Linked DNA regions of Oryzias latipes. The protein of the gene in region 1 interacts with the protein of each later gene in a pairwise test. Links are inferred from orthologs where the notes say so. Each region holds a gene or a part of one and is shown on either strand. Other genes may lie near its edges. The genes, in order: flad1, syntenin-1, trim23 and phosphoribosyltransferase domain-containing protein 1.

Region 1 (4,158 bases):
TCAACCAGTCGGGGTAGGACCCAAGAGCCACCCTTTTGCCCCAGCTGGCCTGCAGTTTGGTCAGAGTGGGTGCGATGTCTGTCTCATCTGCATCCACAAACACCTTACAGGACAAGTTTGGTTACCCCTTTTTGCCCTAGTAAAACACATGAAAATCCTTGAATGACTTGCATGATGATGGCGTTACCTCACGACTGTGAAAGGTGGTTCCTGAAGTAGCAAAGAGCTGTTCCAGCCCCGTGAAGGCCCTCTCCATTAAAGCCGGGATCCCAGGGAACACATACACATTACGCACACTGACCTGTGAGAATGAGCATTCATACAAGAAAAACAAACACGTCTTCACCACAAAAAATATCCTGACCTATAAGAACTTCTTAAAATCATGAAAATTTTTATCTGAACCTGACAAGATGCATGAAATTCATTTTCAAGGATATTGAAGAAGTGAATATAAATTACTTAAAGCTATGAATCCCATTCTGTAAACATTAACATACCACAGGGTAGAGTTGTGGTTTCCCAGTTTGAGGATCCACTCCATAGTTGAGTTTGGCAGAACGGGGCACCTTAGCCATCTTCATGGCCGGACTGTTTTTGTCCGTCCCCCCAAAGAATTCCTTAACCAGCAAGGTGAGATCCGGATGGTGATACATCTCCTCTTGGAATGCCATGGCAATGCTTTCCAAGGTGACATCGTCATGGGTGGGTCCGATGCCCCCCGAGGTGAACAGGTGTGTATACTGAGAGGAGAGGAGGGCTACCTCTTTGGCTATGACCTCCTGTATATCTGGTATGACGGTTATACGCTGTACAGAGACGCCAAGTCTGCGAAGTGCTTGTGTTAGAAAGGTGCTGTTGGTGTCCACTGTGTAGCCCTGAAAAGAAGACAAAGTTTGACTCTAGAGTTTGCAGCCACACACACAAGTGACATTCAAGGACTACAAAAAACTCCAGACCGCCGCCTGATGAAATTCAAGGAGTCACAGTGAGCGTATGCTGAGAGTGAGGCGTGACATTGGACGAAAATCAAAGAGCTCATGTTTAAATCATGATCATGTCAAGTCAAGGAGTTATAGTCAACTTGTCATTTTAAATATGAAACATCACTGCCACATCAAATAACCATCACAAGGTTTTCCTTGGATCTTGAAATGGGGATCTGAGACGGGATAAGAGGCCCAAAATGATAACGACTCACTGCACATGTTAATAACATCAAACATCGTTTATTTAAGCCGTATTCAGGAGGCAGTTGTGCGTGATCTTTCAAGAAGCGAGCCTCTGCCACTCATTCTGAGGTTGAAAGCAACACAAAGCAAAAATATCAATCAACAACAAAAAAACCTCACCTTTAGAATCTCATCTCCAATGATAAGAATGGCTGCAGTGGGAGCCGCAGTGGAGCTCTGCCTCTCGGCGGACATGGCTGCTCTGCTGAGTTGTGCCGTCAGCCTCCTCACACGCACCCCCGCTCTACTTAAACTGGGCAAGGAAAAGCTGGGAAGAAATGTGTGACGTATAAGTGTTCAACTCCAAAACAAATTCCAAACCATCTCTTAAAAGTCGCCTTTAAAGGCTAAAATTAGTCACTATATGTTCCTTCATGCACAAACAACAATGCTTACATAAACATGGATCCACACAGACCACCCAAAAAAAGATCTACAGCAGTTCAGACCCTCTTTCCCTTCATGATTCCTATTCAATTAGGGGGTGTCTAGGGAAACAAAAAACATAAGAAGAAATAAGGGCAAAGAGCATTTAGAAAAACGAATGTAGTTCTGAGATTTTGAACATCGGCAATTTTTATTTAAAATGCAAGTCATGTAATAATTTGGGTCAGAAATGCTATTGTCCACCTTCAAAATCTTCCATGGAACAACTAAAACAAAGTCAACATGGACTTTCATAATTATGCTGCAGTATCTAACATAAACCTTTATTTGTTGATGTTGCTAAAATTCATATTGCCAATTTGTATTATACAATAAATTTATGAAATAAAGAAAACGATCACATTGTAAGTCTGCAACGTTGGAGACCCAGTTTTTCTTTACTGTGATTATTTTCTAGTAAGTTACAGAGAGAGTAGCAACGTTGGACACAATCTCAGTCTTATGTACCCTTTACATATTATTTTTTTACACCAACTTAAATACAGTTATGGACAAAGTTCTGTATTTTTATATTTTAAAAGAAGCAACTACTTTGGGGGAAAAAACTAGTGCCCGCGTTAAGGACTTTCAAATGTACGCTAGTAACTCTGAAGTCTTCTTGCTAGGTACTACTTCAACCTTTGGAAGGGAAGTCAACAACATCGCATTATTGCTAAAATACTAAATACCTTTTTATACTATTAATATAAACATTTGCGATTCTCAGTTAAGATGCGCTCGTAGTGTATCGAATTTGTAGTCCGGTATGTGAACATTATGTCCTTAATTTAAAGGTAACTTACTGTTACTCTGAAGCCGCATATGTCCTCGTTATGAATCCCCACAGCTGTGACGACGGTGGCTCAAGCCCTTTTGGTCCAATCACAAAAAGGAAAGTGACGTTAACAGCCAATGACTTTCAAGGGGCGGGTTTTAACGTTATGCATGTTCTTACAATATCCGGAAGCACGATAACGGTGATCGTCTTAGTTTGTCCAGGTGGTGTGAAGCTGTAGTTTGACTGTACCGAGAAAGGCATTGCATACGTCTGGTATCTAAAAAGTCTTTTCCCCCAGATTTGACGATTTGAGCTACTGTCAAGCTGACCGTCGCGGAAGGATGCGAGGGACGACTTCTTCGAAGGGGAGAGAAAAGGACAACAGCTACTCTCGCACGCCCCTAGTGGCTGGGAGGATCAAATCGGAAATTTCTGATCAGATTATCAACCTTGAAGATGATCAATCCGGAAATGTTGATGGCGCATTTTTGTTTATGTAATATTTTCTGTAAAAAGAGGCGAAATTTTAGCGACGTGTTGAAGGTTTAGTGTCTATTTTAAAGACAGATAAAAAAAAACCTGACCTACATTTAAATTATTGCACAACATTAGAATACAAAAAAACAAACTTTAAACCAAATTGATCATGTTGAGCAGTTCAGTGTCCTTGTCTGTTTCCCCCCTTTTTTTATTCTTTTTATGGAATTGTCAGATTACATTTTAAAAAAATTTTAGATGGTAATTTCTAAAATGGAGAATCAAGGATGTGGAAGTCAAATCTGAAAAATAAACAAAAGGATCCTGTCTTTTCAAAATTAGTCCTGGAGTCTTTATGAGAGAGAGAGAGAGAGAGAGAGAGAGAGAGAGAGAGAGAGAGAGAGAGAGAGCAGATGCATTTAATAAATGTATATAAATAAATATTTAATTAATAAATAAAATCCAGAGCATCTCCAATTTGCAGCAGTAACGCAGGTCAATAAAGGTCTCCTTTATTGTTGTGAGCAGTCTCTTTAAGTCTTGGGTTTAGATTTTCTTTTGTTGGCATTGTTTTGTTGCTTTTTAAGTTTCATTACTTTATTGCAGTTTGACAGAATTTACTCACAAAGACATCCATGACTGCAGTAAGTTCTGTCCCAGCAGAGGCTGCAGTGAGCTGAAGAAAGGTTAGTTTATCTTACACATCACTCATGTATAATAGAGTAGTAAAAATAAAACCTGCAGATATTCCTGCAGATTGATCAGTTTTTGACCTGTATAATAAAAGGTTAGCCTTCACTCTCCTGACAGACGACCAGCACCCATCGTTTATTTAAACCATCAGTTTTACTTCTATTAATGTGAGGACACAGGGCTAAAGTTTTTTTAGACTATGAAACTTGACAAAAACATTTTTAGAAGAGCTTTTCTCAGTTTTTGGTTATAAATAAAAATAGCCGTTCTTCCTCATGAAGTAATACAATATGAAGATGTTATGTACATGTTGCTGCTGCAGTCTAAACATGATGTTGTTTTTGTAGATAATCAATGTAATAAATCTAGCTATTTTGTAAAAAATAATCTATTTTTTAAAAATATTAACATTATTGTTATATTGTTGCAGAAATGTGTCCATATAAAGATGTTATAAAGTTATTTAGAAGGGAAAACATACAAAAAAAGGTGGGGGGGGGGCTTTTCTGAGTGTTAAATTATTGAATATTTTCGTGCACAGACGGATTCAGG
Region 2 (4,201 bases), on another chromosome or scaffold:
GAAGAATTTGTCAACAAATGTTGCATTCTTTCAATACAAGAAGTAGTAATTTTTCAATGAATAACAATGAGTCATGTTTTTTTTTTCTTTTTCAATTAGCAACATTATCCCTGTCAAGTGTTTTTGAGATTTCATGGAAGCAGCCAATTGGAAATGAACAGAAAAAGGTGAAATGATGATCCACAACAAAAAACATGGACCAGGTTCTATACAATGGGTTTTAAATAAAGTTTGATAATGCGGTAGGGTTCTCAGAAATGCAGGTATCTAACATAATATGAATGGTTATATAAGGTAAGAAGCTCCTCCATCCTTCAGTGGTCTGTATTGATGGCACGAGTTTAAATTGGTTACCTGTGTAAAAGACACGTCTCCGCGACCAATACCTAAGAGCTGTCTCAGGACACCAGAGGCAATATTGTTGTAAGTTTACCTATGATGAACATTACAGACCTCTCATCGTTTTAAGGGGGACAACTTGCAGGATTGATAAGTAACAAATACTTTTTTGCCCCACTGTATATGTGAAAAAGCAGAGCACAGGTCTTTGAAGACATTAATACGACCACAACCTTTGGAACATCAAAATGATGTTAATGTTGCTCACAAAAACAGAGTAAACATATTTTTTTTAAACAGTTATGTTTACTGATTATACATAAATGCAATAAAGACATTTTATTCCTACGTTTCAGACATAAATAATCTCTACAGTCACCCAAAGGGTGCAGAGGGGAGAGTTAAGGAGCTTAAAGTGTAGCTGACTGGAGCATACCAACTTTAACTGTGTAGTTTCATTAATAAGAAAGAACAATTATCAACTGGTTGACAAATGGATTTATCCGCCTAAAAAAAAAAAAAAGAATATTTATCCATGAGACCGTGTGCAAATCTGAGCTCCTATCAACTCATAAAAGGTGTTTTTTTTTTTTTTTTTACTAAGCCTGCATGAGGTGACAGTCGGAAGGAATGACTCATAAATAACCTCCAGCAAAATCAGACTATGTCATACAACTGTAATAAACAAACATCAACATCTGAGATAAAACCAGGAGAAATTTGATGTAAAAAATATTACTAATGTTGGTTTATAACAGTATAAAAATGTAAGAAAATGGAAAGAGAATAAAAAATGCTTCTAATGCCCTAGGTTATGGAGGATTTTGGAACATCTACAAACTTTTTCCAGAGACATTCTTGAAAAGCCTAACACTGAACAGTTACACACACGTCAAAGATCATTTGGGAATTTAATTTATCAGCTAAATTAACACAATTCTCTTCTAACATTAATTTATATAAGTATCACTTATTATGACCTTATATCACACAGAAGTTCAGTCACAAGACCTTCATAAAACCAGCCTGAGTCAGGGGTCATGTGACTGAAACTGGGCGTGTCTTATAACGTCAGCTGTGATTGACATGGTGCACAGGAGCAGGAAGCCAACAGTGACGTCACTTTCTAGAAGTCCCCTTAAGGTGTCTGCGACGAGAAGACCGAAGAGGCAGAAAATAACGGAGTGCTCATCTTTTTTTGGACTTTGAAACAAATTCACATCTACAGGTGAGCTATGTTTAATTTTTTTAAGTATCGCCGCGAGGCCATCTGTCGTACGTAGCTGTAACTGAGGTGAATTTCTGTTTTTACCTACATGCTAACGCCGTTAGCTAACCTCCCTCTAGCTGTTTATGCCGGAACAAAGACGCTTCTTTGAGCTCCTTCTTCTTCAAATTTTATTCTATTTTAATCCACGCGCTCGCTTCAGTCTCATGCTATTGTATTTATGAACGTGAAAAATATATGTTTTCTATATCAACAATGCTGCTTCTTATATGTGTGTACAGTTTCGGGTAACGTTCAGGAACATCTCGCGCGTCTCAAGTTAGCTTCGCCTCGAAACGAGAGTCTGTTTTAAAATATCATCATCACAAGAGTATAAAGAATTTGATTATTCTGCTGATTTATTTATAGTGTTGTGGGTTGTTAACTTATTTAAAAACCCACCCAAAGCGGCCTTTGTGGAGATTAGTGTCTGATCAACACAACTGTTCTCAGTTTTGAGCACGCGGGCCAATTAATTTGAATGCTTTTGCTTTAGTTTCCCCTTTTTCTTTCCTTGATTCCCGAAGACGTCAGCATTTTTTCCCCCTTTCCAGTCTTAATAAGTCATGTTTCTCGTTTCTTCCGGCTGTACCTTTATCAAAATAAATGGTGATCAGTGAAAATGTATTATTTTGATAGGATAAGAGTTTAAATTTAAAGCTTATATCATTTAAAATAGGAAAAATAATTATATCAGAGTGGCTAACTATAAAAAAAATGTATATCTCAAGTTTCCAATCAAAGTGGATCACTCAAAAAGTTTGGCTAATGGTTAATAAGAAAAAAAATAAGCTAATTGTTATAAGAACTGAGGCACAACACTGGTAAGAACAGGGATGAACTATCACTTATAAATTAAACCTTTTTAATTATTTAAGCCTGTCATTTTTGGTTATTTTAAGTGTGTGGTGAGTCCATCTTAAACCAAACCAAATATAATTCTTAGAAGTTAAGGGCTGCTTTAACATGTTTTCATTTGTTTGTTTTCCGTTCATGTTTTTAAAGGAATTTGTTAGTTTGACATTATATTTATAGACTCAAGTAGAAGTAAAGTTTATAAAAAAAAAAAAAAAAACAGTAAATGAATAATCTGCTAGATTTTCAGAATAAAGCAGAAGCTTTAGATCGAGTTCTGCTGAATGGGCTGCTCACACCAAAATATGTTGAATGGGAGCAAACACATGCCAGGCCTGGTGTGTCTGAGCCTTTGCACAAGCTTTCTTTGGCATTCCTCCTAATATAACACTACTTTGAGTTTCTTGACTTTTTTTTGCAAGCAAGTTAGATGAAACATTTGTTTTAAAAAAACTAACAGGAAACCAGTACACACATATTTAACAGTCTGAAACAAAAGAAAATTCTTTTGTCATGTTAACCTTCACTTGTTAATGTGACCTTCATATATATTTTCCGTCATCAGAAATCTTTACCTTAACAATCCATAAAAAAAACTTTTTTAACCTCCTTCAGAAAGGGTTCCTTCTTGTATATTTCAGTAAAATGATCTGCGCCTTGTTTTCCGTCGCAGTGGCAGACGTCTCAATGATCCTGTTATGTCATCTGAAGGGTTGCTCAAATGCTGCTGTTTTGTTTCCAGGCGTATTCATGTTCAGCCAGAGAGTCTGTATGAGAGAGGCATACAAAGCAAGCAAACACATAGCTGAAGAGTAAACAGTGGAAGGTTAACAAAAAGGCCTCTCTGTGTCCACACACACACAATGATGCACTTGTCCTGGAGGACTGAGATGAGCAGAATGGAGTGAGCCCTCAGTGATGTTAAAAAACCAACTGTTGCTTGATTTATGCTCTCTACATAAACTGGATTGTAGGACCTGTTTTTGTAGCTCTGATGTTTCTAATCTTCACACTTGAAGCAGCAGCTCTTCAAAGCTGACAGTCTGCCTCACAGAAGAGCTACTCTGATCTCAGAACCATACTTTACATCAGCCTCCTAATGCACATCGATATAATGATTGACTTAGTGCTGCACGGTGGCCTCTTTGGTCTTAACCGACATGTTAAAAGTCCTGCTCCAGCGTCTTTTCCTGTCTATGTGTCACATGATTTTTCCTGATTAGACCGCGCTGTTTCAGTGTCATTCTGTGTGTGAACTGGTGGATAGATTCTGATCAGTTGAGATTCCTTTGCGGATTTTGGAGGATTTGAAACGTTTTCACATAAAATAAAAAGGTTCCTAAAAAGCAGCATTAACTTGATCTAACAGCTGCACGTTTCTATCTAATAAGATCTGCTGACGCAAATGGTAATAAAAAGAGAATGCAAACTTCACCTGGCATTTCTCGTGATCTCACATTGTGTAAAACACATCCGCCTTTACTTTAACAGCACCTGTTTGGAGACACAAACGTCCCTATCATTTCCTACCATTGAGCTCCTGTCTGAAACGGGAAGCTATGCAGAAGAAGAGAACTAAGAGTCGGGCACTTGGATCGTAAACACATGCCATGTGAGATGACTATATCAGTAAATAGACTGTATACATGATGAATACTTTGGGTACAACGTGTTCTGTCTAAGCTAAATTTTTCTTGCCTTTTACTTAGTATTTTTGCATCTTCTGTCTTTTTTTTAATA
Region 3 (3,079 bases), on another chromosome or scaffold:
TCTATCACATTTCATATTATGTCACTAATTATGCAAAAGTAAAAATAACATCCATTTGGTTTAAATGTAAATTGTTAAATAAATTGAAATCAAGTCAATCTGATTGGTAGTTCTACTCTGATCCATTTCTTTCTGCTGGAGCCTTAAATTGTGATAGAAAAGGTGAAAAATCATTCATTGATTGAGTAATAGCGGTTTATTTATAGAAGTCTATAGGTTTTTGGCTTCTGGGAGCCAGGATTTACCTCCTGTTTGGGACGCCAGGGGGGAGGAGTCACTCCGTCCAGTTTTCATATGCAGTCAGCTTAAAGTGAGCTTTGCACACAAGCATTTACTACAACTCGACTCTCTGGATGAGGACGACTACAGGACAAGTCTGTGGTGCAATTCCCTCAAAGTGAGTTTACAAAAAAAAGTCTAAAAACAACTTTAGATAAAGTTAAAAAAAAGTCTGTTCCTGCTGTTACTGAGACAATTTCCAGAAGACCCCATCTGCGAAGTTCTTGGTCGATAAAAAAAGAAACTAAAGCTGAGCAAAATCTCCTTTTTCATTTAACCACTATAAGTTAATCAGAAGAATAACAAGTGAAGCACCAACCTTGAGTGTTGAGATAATAGTGTTTCCAGAGCGGCCTCAGCTTATGCTTTCCACCAACGTCCCAGATGGTAAATTTTAAGTTCTTGTACTCGACGGTCTCCACGTTGAAGCCTCAAAAAAGAACCAGAACCAAGTTTCATTCAACTCAATCTTTCAAAGATCGTATGGTTAACCAGTGCAGACGTCTTTACCGATGGTTGGGATGGGCTGCATGAACTCGTCTTGCTTCAGCTTGAATAGAATGGTTGTTTTTCCAGCCCCATCGAGCCCCAGAGTCACCACCCGGATCTCCATCTTTGGTCCGATGTGAACTCGGTTGTCCTGAAGACACGTTTCAGTTTAGCTTTGGGTTTGTCACCGCGAGGCAAAGGTTTCCAAACGCAGACGAAGACCTTGGTGAAGGTGACGGGGATGCCGGCGTCCAGCTGGATGTGGTCTGCCAGCTCCGTGAACTGGTGCTGCTGCTTCTGAAGCGTCTCCAGTAAACAGCTGATCTCCTGCTTTGCCAGAACAACCCTGCAGTCGTCCTGCATCGGGAGAGAAGCCGCACGCAAACACAACACGGTGCTTTCAATGCCTTGGAACGCACCACTCTACTCCTACTGATTCAGAGAAGTTATCATGAACAAAAAAACTGATCCAAATTCTAAAACACACGAACATTTTCAAAATAAGATCAAGGCTCTGTCCAAATTCCCACCATAACCCCTAACTACTAAAAAACTCTATAGTGCTGCACTATGTCGAGCCCTGAATTTTAACAGCAATTCGGACGCCACGCTCACTACTTTTGTTTTAAACGGCGAATATGATGTCATCAATTTCACGAAGTGCTGTGAGCGTTTTGCGACGATTATTTATGAGTCCACTGTCTCCTGAAAATAAAAACATTGATGGTCTATTAAAAAAATACATTTTAACGCATTTATTTTGGTATAAAATGTTCCGACGCAATGCATTGTGGTCTATATTAAATGATATAGTGAGCATCGATGCACACAGGTTTTTTTGCAGAGACTTCAGGGAAATTTCCAGGGCACTGGATTTTGGAATTGTAGATTCGGACAGAACTAGAAAATGCTGAAGGCACTATTTAGTACGGTGGCCCAGAAGGGTCACAACACAACACATTAACTTTACACACAACACATTAACTCACAACACAACACATTAACTTTACACACAACACATTAAATCACAACACAACAAATTAACTTTACACACAACACATTAACTTTACACACAACACATTAACTTTACAACACAACACATTAACTCACAACACAACACATTAATCACAACACAACACAATAACTCACAACACAACACATTAACTCACAACACAACACATTAACTCACAACACAACACAATAACTCACAACACAACACAATAAATTACAACACAACACATTAACTTTACACACAACACATTAACTTTACAACACAACACATTAACTCACAACACAACACATTAATCACAACACAACACAATAACTCACAACACAACACATTAACTCACAACACAACACAATAACTCACAACACAACACATTAACTCACAATACAACACAATAACTCACAACACAACACAATAACTCACAACACATTAACTCACAACACAACACATTAACTCACAACGGAAGTAAAGCTGCAATGGAAGTGCTTTTATTCTGAAATTTCAACTGGGCTGAGCGGCTAACTGCCTCACAGAAAGTAACGTCACAGTGAGCTGTGGAGGGAGCATGATTTTCTACAAGAGAAGCTAGCAGCAGCGTTGCCAGATTGGGCGGTTTTGGGTGTAAATTTGCGGTCAAAAATGCATAATTTGTATGGTTTAAAGGTCGGTTCAGCGGGTTTTTTCCCACTCATGAATATATAATAGCGGCCTACGTTAGGCCGTGTGGCTTTTGGAGTTCTACTGAAGCTCCGTGAACGGCAGAGCTTAATGGACCGGGTTTTGTCATCTAACCTGTTGTTGGGGGAGTGCAACGCCCCGCCTCTTAGAAATTGTGTTCATTAAAGCCTGACAGTGGGGATTTCTCCACATGTGTCGTGTCAAGTGTTGGGGACCGCGTGCGTGTGTGAGAGGAAGAGGGAGGGGAAGAAAGGAGAGGAGCGCGTGCAGGGACTGGGAGGGTGTGTGGGTGGGTGGGGGGTGTTGGGGACCGAGTGAGTGTGAGAGGAGGGGGCTGAAGAACGGAGAGGAGCGGAGCACGCGCAGCGACAGAGAGGGGTGTGAGTGCAGCGCGGAGGAGTGTGCGTTAACATTGTGTAGCTTCTCTTGTAGAAGAAACATGCTCCCTCCACAGCTCACTGTGACGTTACTTTCTGTTAGGCAGTTAGCCAATCAGCCCAGTGGAAATTTCAGAATAAAAGCACTTCCATTGCTGCTTTACTTCCGTTGTGAGTTAATGTGTTGTGTTGTGAGTTAATCTGTTGTGAGTTATTGTGTTGTGTTGTGAGTTAATGTGTTGTGTTGTGA
Region 4 (4,013 bases), on another chromosome or scaffold:
AGAGTCAGAACTAAACAAGGGGAATCAGCGTTTCAATATTCTGCAGCTAAAATCTGGAACAGCCTCCCTGAAGTCGTAAGACAGGCCTCTTCTGTGTTCATGTTCAAATCTAGACTTAAAACATTTCTGTTTAGCCGTGTATATGACTGAAAGGTCCTATCTGCACTTTTCTTTCATTTCCTTCCTCTCTTTTTAAATCAATTTTCTATTTTTTTTTCTTTTCTTTTAAAGTAAATTTTACGTTGATGATTTCTATGATGTATTGTGATATTAATGTATTTTTCTGTTTTGTGAATCACCTTGAATTACTTTGGGTATGAATTGTGCTATACAAATAAACTTGCCTTGCCTTGTCTGAAGAAATACACAATTATTTTTACTTAAGGAGCCAGATTTGAATTAATTTTTAAGATTTATTTAGATCTAGGCAATAAAGCATAAATGTACTATTTTACATCTTCTGTACAACGGGAACATTTTTGTATAGTCCTTCTTTTTACATGCTGATGTAAATATTTTTAGTTTACATACAAGTGTAAATCCTACTAAAAAGTAAAAAGAAGGGACAACATATATAAATATAAATATATAAATATATATATATATATATATATATATTTTTTCTGAAGGTCACTATCCTCTGTGAACACCACCTTTTTTTGGTTGTTTGAATTCCTGAATGTCTTTTTTTTGCTGCTGAAGATAAGAGAATTTCCCCATTGTGGGATGAGTAAAGTCTATCTATCTATATTGAATCTATATAGATAGATAGATAGAATTTTATATTCAAAATTTCCAATATTAGGGAAGAATTTTGAAGACTTATGTCAAATTAAGAGCATCAAACCTGCTCAAAGATGATTCTATAGTTGTATTTGTTTAAAAACAACAGATTCTTTTACGTGTTTAAATTAATATTAAATACTAAAAAATTAAGAAGCAGATTGAAAAAAAACTGTTTGCAGACATGATGAAAACAATGTTAACATGGCATTCAAATAATAATAACAGGGGCACATTTTAAAAATTAGGTGATAAGAATTTAGTGCAGTAACTGTTTGTTTTTGGGGTCTTTTAAGAAAGAAATGTTTTTATTGTGTTAAGATAAGAAAGCGTGTTCTCTTGACTCGGCCGCTCCATTCTGAGGAATTGTGGTGTCACAGCGCCCCTGGTGGCCGCATGTGACACTGCAGAGGGGCAGGGACTCCCGGATGGTTTCACAATAGTGCTCCACATTCCCCCGCGCAGATCCTCCTCCCGACCAGGTCAAACCCCTCCGCACAGACTCGCAGCACTTTGGTTGAAACGAGAGCGGGTTTTTTTTCTTCTTCTTCAAAATGGCTGAAGTTTCTGTCCGGGCCGAGAGCAAAAGCGAGGGCATTGTGGTAATTTAACGAGAGGAAACGAAGAAGTGAATGAACGCGTTTGCGCAGTTTTGCAGGGGGTGGCGCCACGTGTAGACTGTAGAAGTTTGCACCTTTAAAAAACTAAAAATACAGTAAACTTGCAAAGATGCAGACTGAAGATCTAATGCTTTCTGCTGCGTTTCCTCTCAGATTCACGACGACTGGCCAGGTTACAGCCTGGACCTCTTCAGCTACCCAGCGCACTACTACGGAGACTTGGACTGCGTCATCATTCCGCATGGCGTCATCATGGATAGGTACAAAACTCTGGAGGCCTGTCAGATGACCTCCCAGATGTTTGGCCTTCTGTGAGGTTACATCATAGCTCCATGTGTCTTCCAAAGATTTTATAGGATGCCATCTAATTCCTGTGTAGTAAAATGCACCAAAAGTAAAGTTTGTTTTATGTAGATCACCTTTACAATAATCCTTAAACTGTTGTAGATTTTCTTTTTCCATAGGGCAGCATTTAAAATGAACATGCATGTGTGGGATGGCACTGCCAGACAAGTTTTCACATATGATTTGAAGGGAACAGCCCTGCTCCTCATTCCACACATGCATGTTCCTAATGTGACACCAATTCCAAAAGAAATAAACTGTTTTTCCAACAGTTTAAACAACCACTCCAAAAAAAAAAAAAAGTGTTTTTAACATGTTCAACAGCATTTTTCTCCTGACGGAAGATGTAAGCTTAAAATTGCATTTCTGAGTATTTCTTTATTCAAATCATTGTGTATCAGGAGCAAACAAAAATGCAGTTGTAAAAAGCTTGTAGGTGTGACGTAGGGCCTATGACAGCAAGCCACAAGCTCACATACTTCTGCTCCATTCTAAAGCATCCACTTGAAGACAAATAGATCCATGCACGTCTTTGTTCTCCTTGTCTGAGCTGGAATCTGGTACAAAAACTGCACGGCTGCAATAGTGCTCTGCATTTCTGTTGGACTGAAAATGTTAGGATGGGGTTGTGAGGGGCTGTAAGCCAGTGGGAGAGAGTGTAAACAAAAGGGATGGTGGGAAAAGGGTAGGCCTGCTTTGTGCCAGTGGTCACTCAGAAGTAAACTTCACATGAACTACTGCTGCTCTGCAGAAACTATGTCCTAGATAACAAAAGACGTTTTTTTTTATTTATGATTTTAAAAAAAACAAGGGAACACTTTGAAAATAGATCAAAAGGGGATCAGAGGGGAACTTTAACGTTTTTAGGCTTTTAAAACAAAGAAATCTGTTAAAAGTAAAAGCTTACTCACTTTGTTTAGAAATAACCTGCTAGAATTCAGGATTGGGAAAGAAAAGTAAACCTTAAAGGTAGAGGAAGTTATTAAAAAAATCCTAATTACATTAGTTTACAATTTCTAAAATAAAAACTGCTATTAAAAAGTAGTTTTAGTTTAGATTCCTCACTTTTCACCACTCCATCCTCATTTTAGCTATAAACCTTTGCAAAAGGTAAAAAAAAAACGTACACTTGAGGTCTATTTTATGAAGTATACTTGTGTATAAGTATATCAAGTATAATGTTGAGTGTGTAGAAAGTATACTAACTGAATACTTTACAGACTAAATTTGAAAATTTTAATCACACAATAATTAAAATATATAAGTACCACTTTTAGAATAGACTACTTGTATTAGACTTAAAAATACTATTTTTTGTTAACAGAAATTACAATCTACCAAATATCTTTAACTTATTTGTGTGACAAATGAAATACTATAGAAATCAAAGTATGTCAAACAAAATTCAAGAGATGCTAATGTTTAATTTGTCTGCCATGCACAAACCTAATCTTAACTGCTACAGATGAGGTTTTTTTTTTCAAACGTGTCACATTTTGTAAAAAACACTTTGCAATAATGAGGAAATGTACAACAAAACAAGTAAATTTATTACTATTAGGAACTTTAGTGAAACTCTTTATTAATGGAATCATTATGTCTCCATTATGTCTTCTTAAACAATAAAATATCTAAAGAGGAAATGGTTATGAAACAAAATGGTCTCAGTTCCTAAAAATGGATTGGATTATTTTTCCCCTCTCACAATCTGTCTTCCCATAGATTTCTTTGTTCTGCCTGCATAAACCTAATTACATAAACTCTTGTGATGTACACTACTTCATAAAGTGCAAAAATGTGTTAAAAAAATAGATTTTTTTTTCCTGGCGCTCATGAAAAAATACAAAAGAAATTGGAATTTGAAAAACAAAAAACCTTTTTAAAAGGCTCTAAAGCCATTTGATGTCACATTTTTATGAAATAACCTGGACAGCTTTGGGAACTCCTGCTGCAGAGCCTCTTTGTTGTGTCGTTTCAAGGACGGAGCGCCTGGCTCGGAACATCATGGATGACCTGGGCGACCATGACATTGTGGTTCTGTGCGTGCTGAAAGGAGGTTACCAGTTCTGCGCCGACCTGGTGGACAGGATCAAAGCTCTCAGCTGCAACTCCGACCACACAATTCCCATGAGAGTTCACTTCATCCGCCTGAAGAGTTACCTGGTGAGCTTTCATCCTGCTGCAGGGCAGGAAGTGATGATGTTGACATCCAATGATCATGGGTTAAAAATGTGTGGGAGTGGCCTGCCGCTTTTCACGCATGTG

What was found.
Region 2: the proteins of flad1 (region 1) and syntenin-1 interact in binary tests that used the Homo sapiens proteins (3 or more experiments, as listed by UniProt). The two-hybrid records come from large-scale screens. The link is inferred for Oryzias latipes from reciprocal best matches to the Homo sapiens genes FLAD1 and SDCBP.
Region 3: the proteins of flad1 (region 1) and trim23 interact in binary tests that used the Homo sapiens proteins (3 or more experiments, as listed by UniProt). The two-hybrid records come from large-scale screens. The link is inferred for Oryzias latipes from reciprocal best matches to the Homo sapiens genes FLAD1 and TRIM23.
Region 4: the proteins of flad1 (region 1) and phosphoribosyltransferase domain-containing protein 1 interact in binary tests that used the Homo sapiens proteins (3 or more experiments, as listed by UniProt). The two-hybrid records come from large-scale screens. The link is inferred for Oryzias latipes from reciprocal best matches to the Homo sapiens genes FLAD1 and PRTFDC1.

Annotation. Positions count from the first base shown.
Region 1 is NC_019874.2:18,344,400-18,348,557, reverse strand, and holds the start of flad1 (FAD synthase), read right to left. Parts: upstream 2,817-4,158; 5' UTR 2,614-2,816; intron 2,529-2,613; 5' UTR 2,462-2,528; intron 1,721-2,461; 5' UTR 1,637-1,720; coding exon 1,629-1,636; intron 1,501-1,628; coding exon 1,353-1,500; intron 879-1,352; coding exon 501-878; intron 302-500; coding exon 188-301; intron 104-187; coding exon 1-103. UniProt on the Homo sapiens protein: Catalyzes the adenylation of flavin mononucleotide (FMN) to form flavin adenine dinucleotide (FAD) coenzyme.
Region 2 is NC_019865.2:5,716,976-5,721,176, reverse strand, and holds the start of syntenin-1, read left to right. Parts: upstream 1-1,399; 5' UTR 1,400-1,567; intron 1,568-4,201. UniProt on the Homo sapiens protein: Multifunctional adapter protein involved in diverse array of functions including trafficking of transmembrane proteins, neuro and immunomodulation, exosome biogenesis, and tumorigenesis.
Region 3 is NC_019870.2:3,055,359-3,058,437, forward strand, and holds part of trim23 (E3 ubiquitin-protein ligase TRIM23), read right to left. Parts: intron 1,126-3,079; coding exon 991-1,125; intron 920-990; coding exon 790-919; intron 710-789; coding exon 599-709; intron 1-598.
Region 4 is NC_019875.2:25,189,649-25,193,661, forward strand, and holds the start of phosphoribosyltransferase domain-containing protein 1, read left to right. Parts: upstream 1-1,177; 5' UTR 1,178-1,337; coding exon 1,338-1,385; intron 1,386-1,556; coding exon 1,557-1,663; intron 1,664-3,727; coding exon 3,728-3,911; intron 3,912-4,013. UniProt on the Homo sapiens protein: Has low, barely detectable phosphoribosyltransferase activity (in vitro). Binds GMP, IMP and alpha-D-5-phosphoribosyl 1-pyrophosphate (PRPP). Is not expected to contribute to purine metabolism or GMP salvage.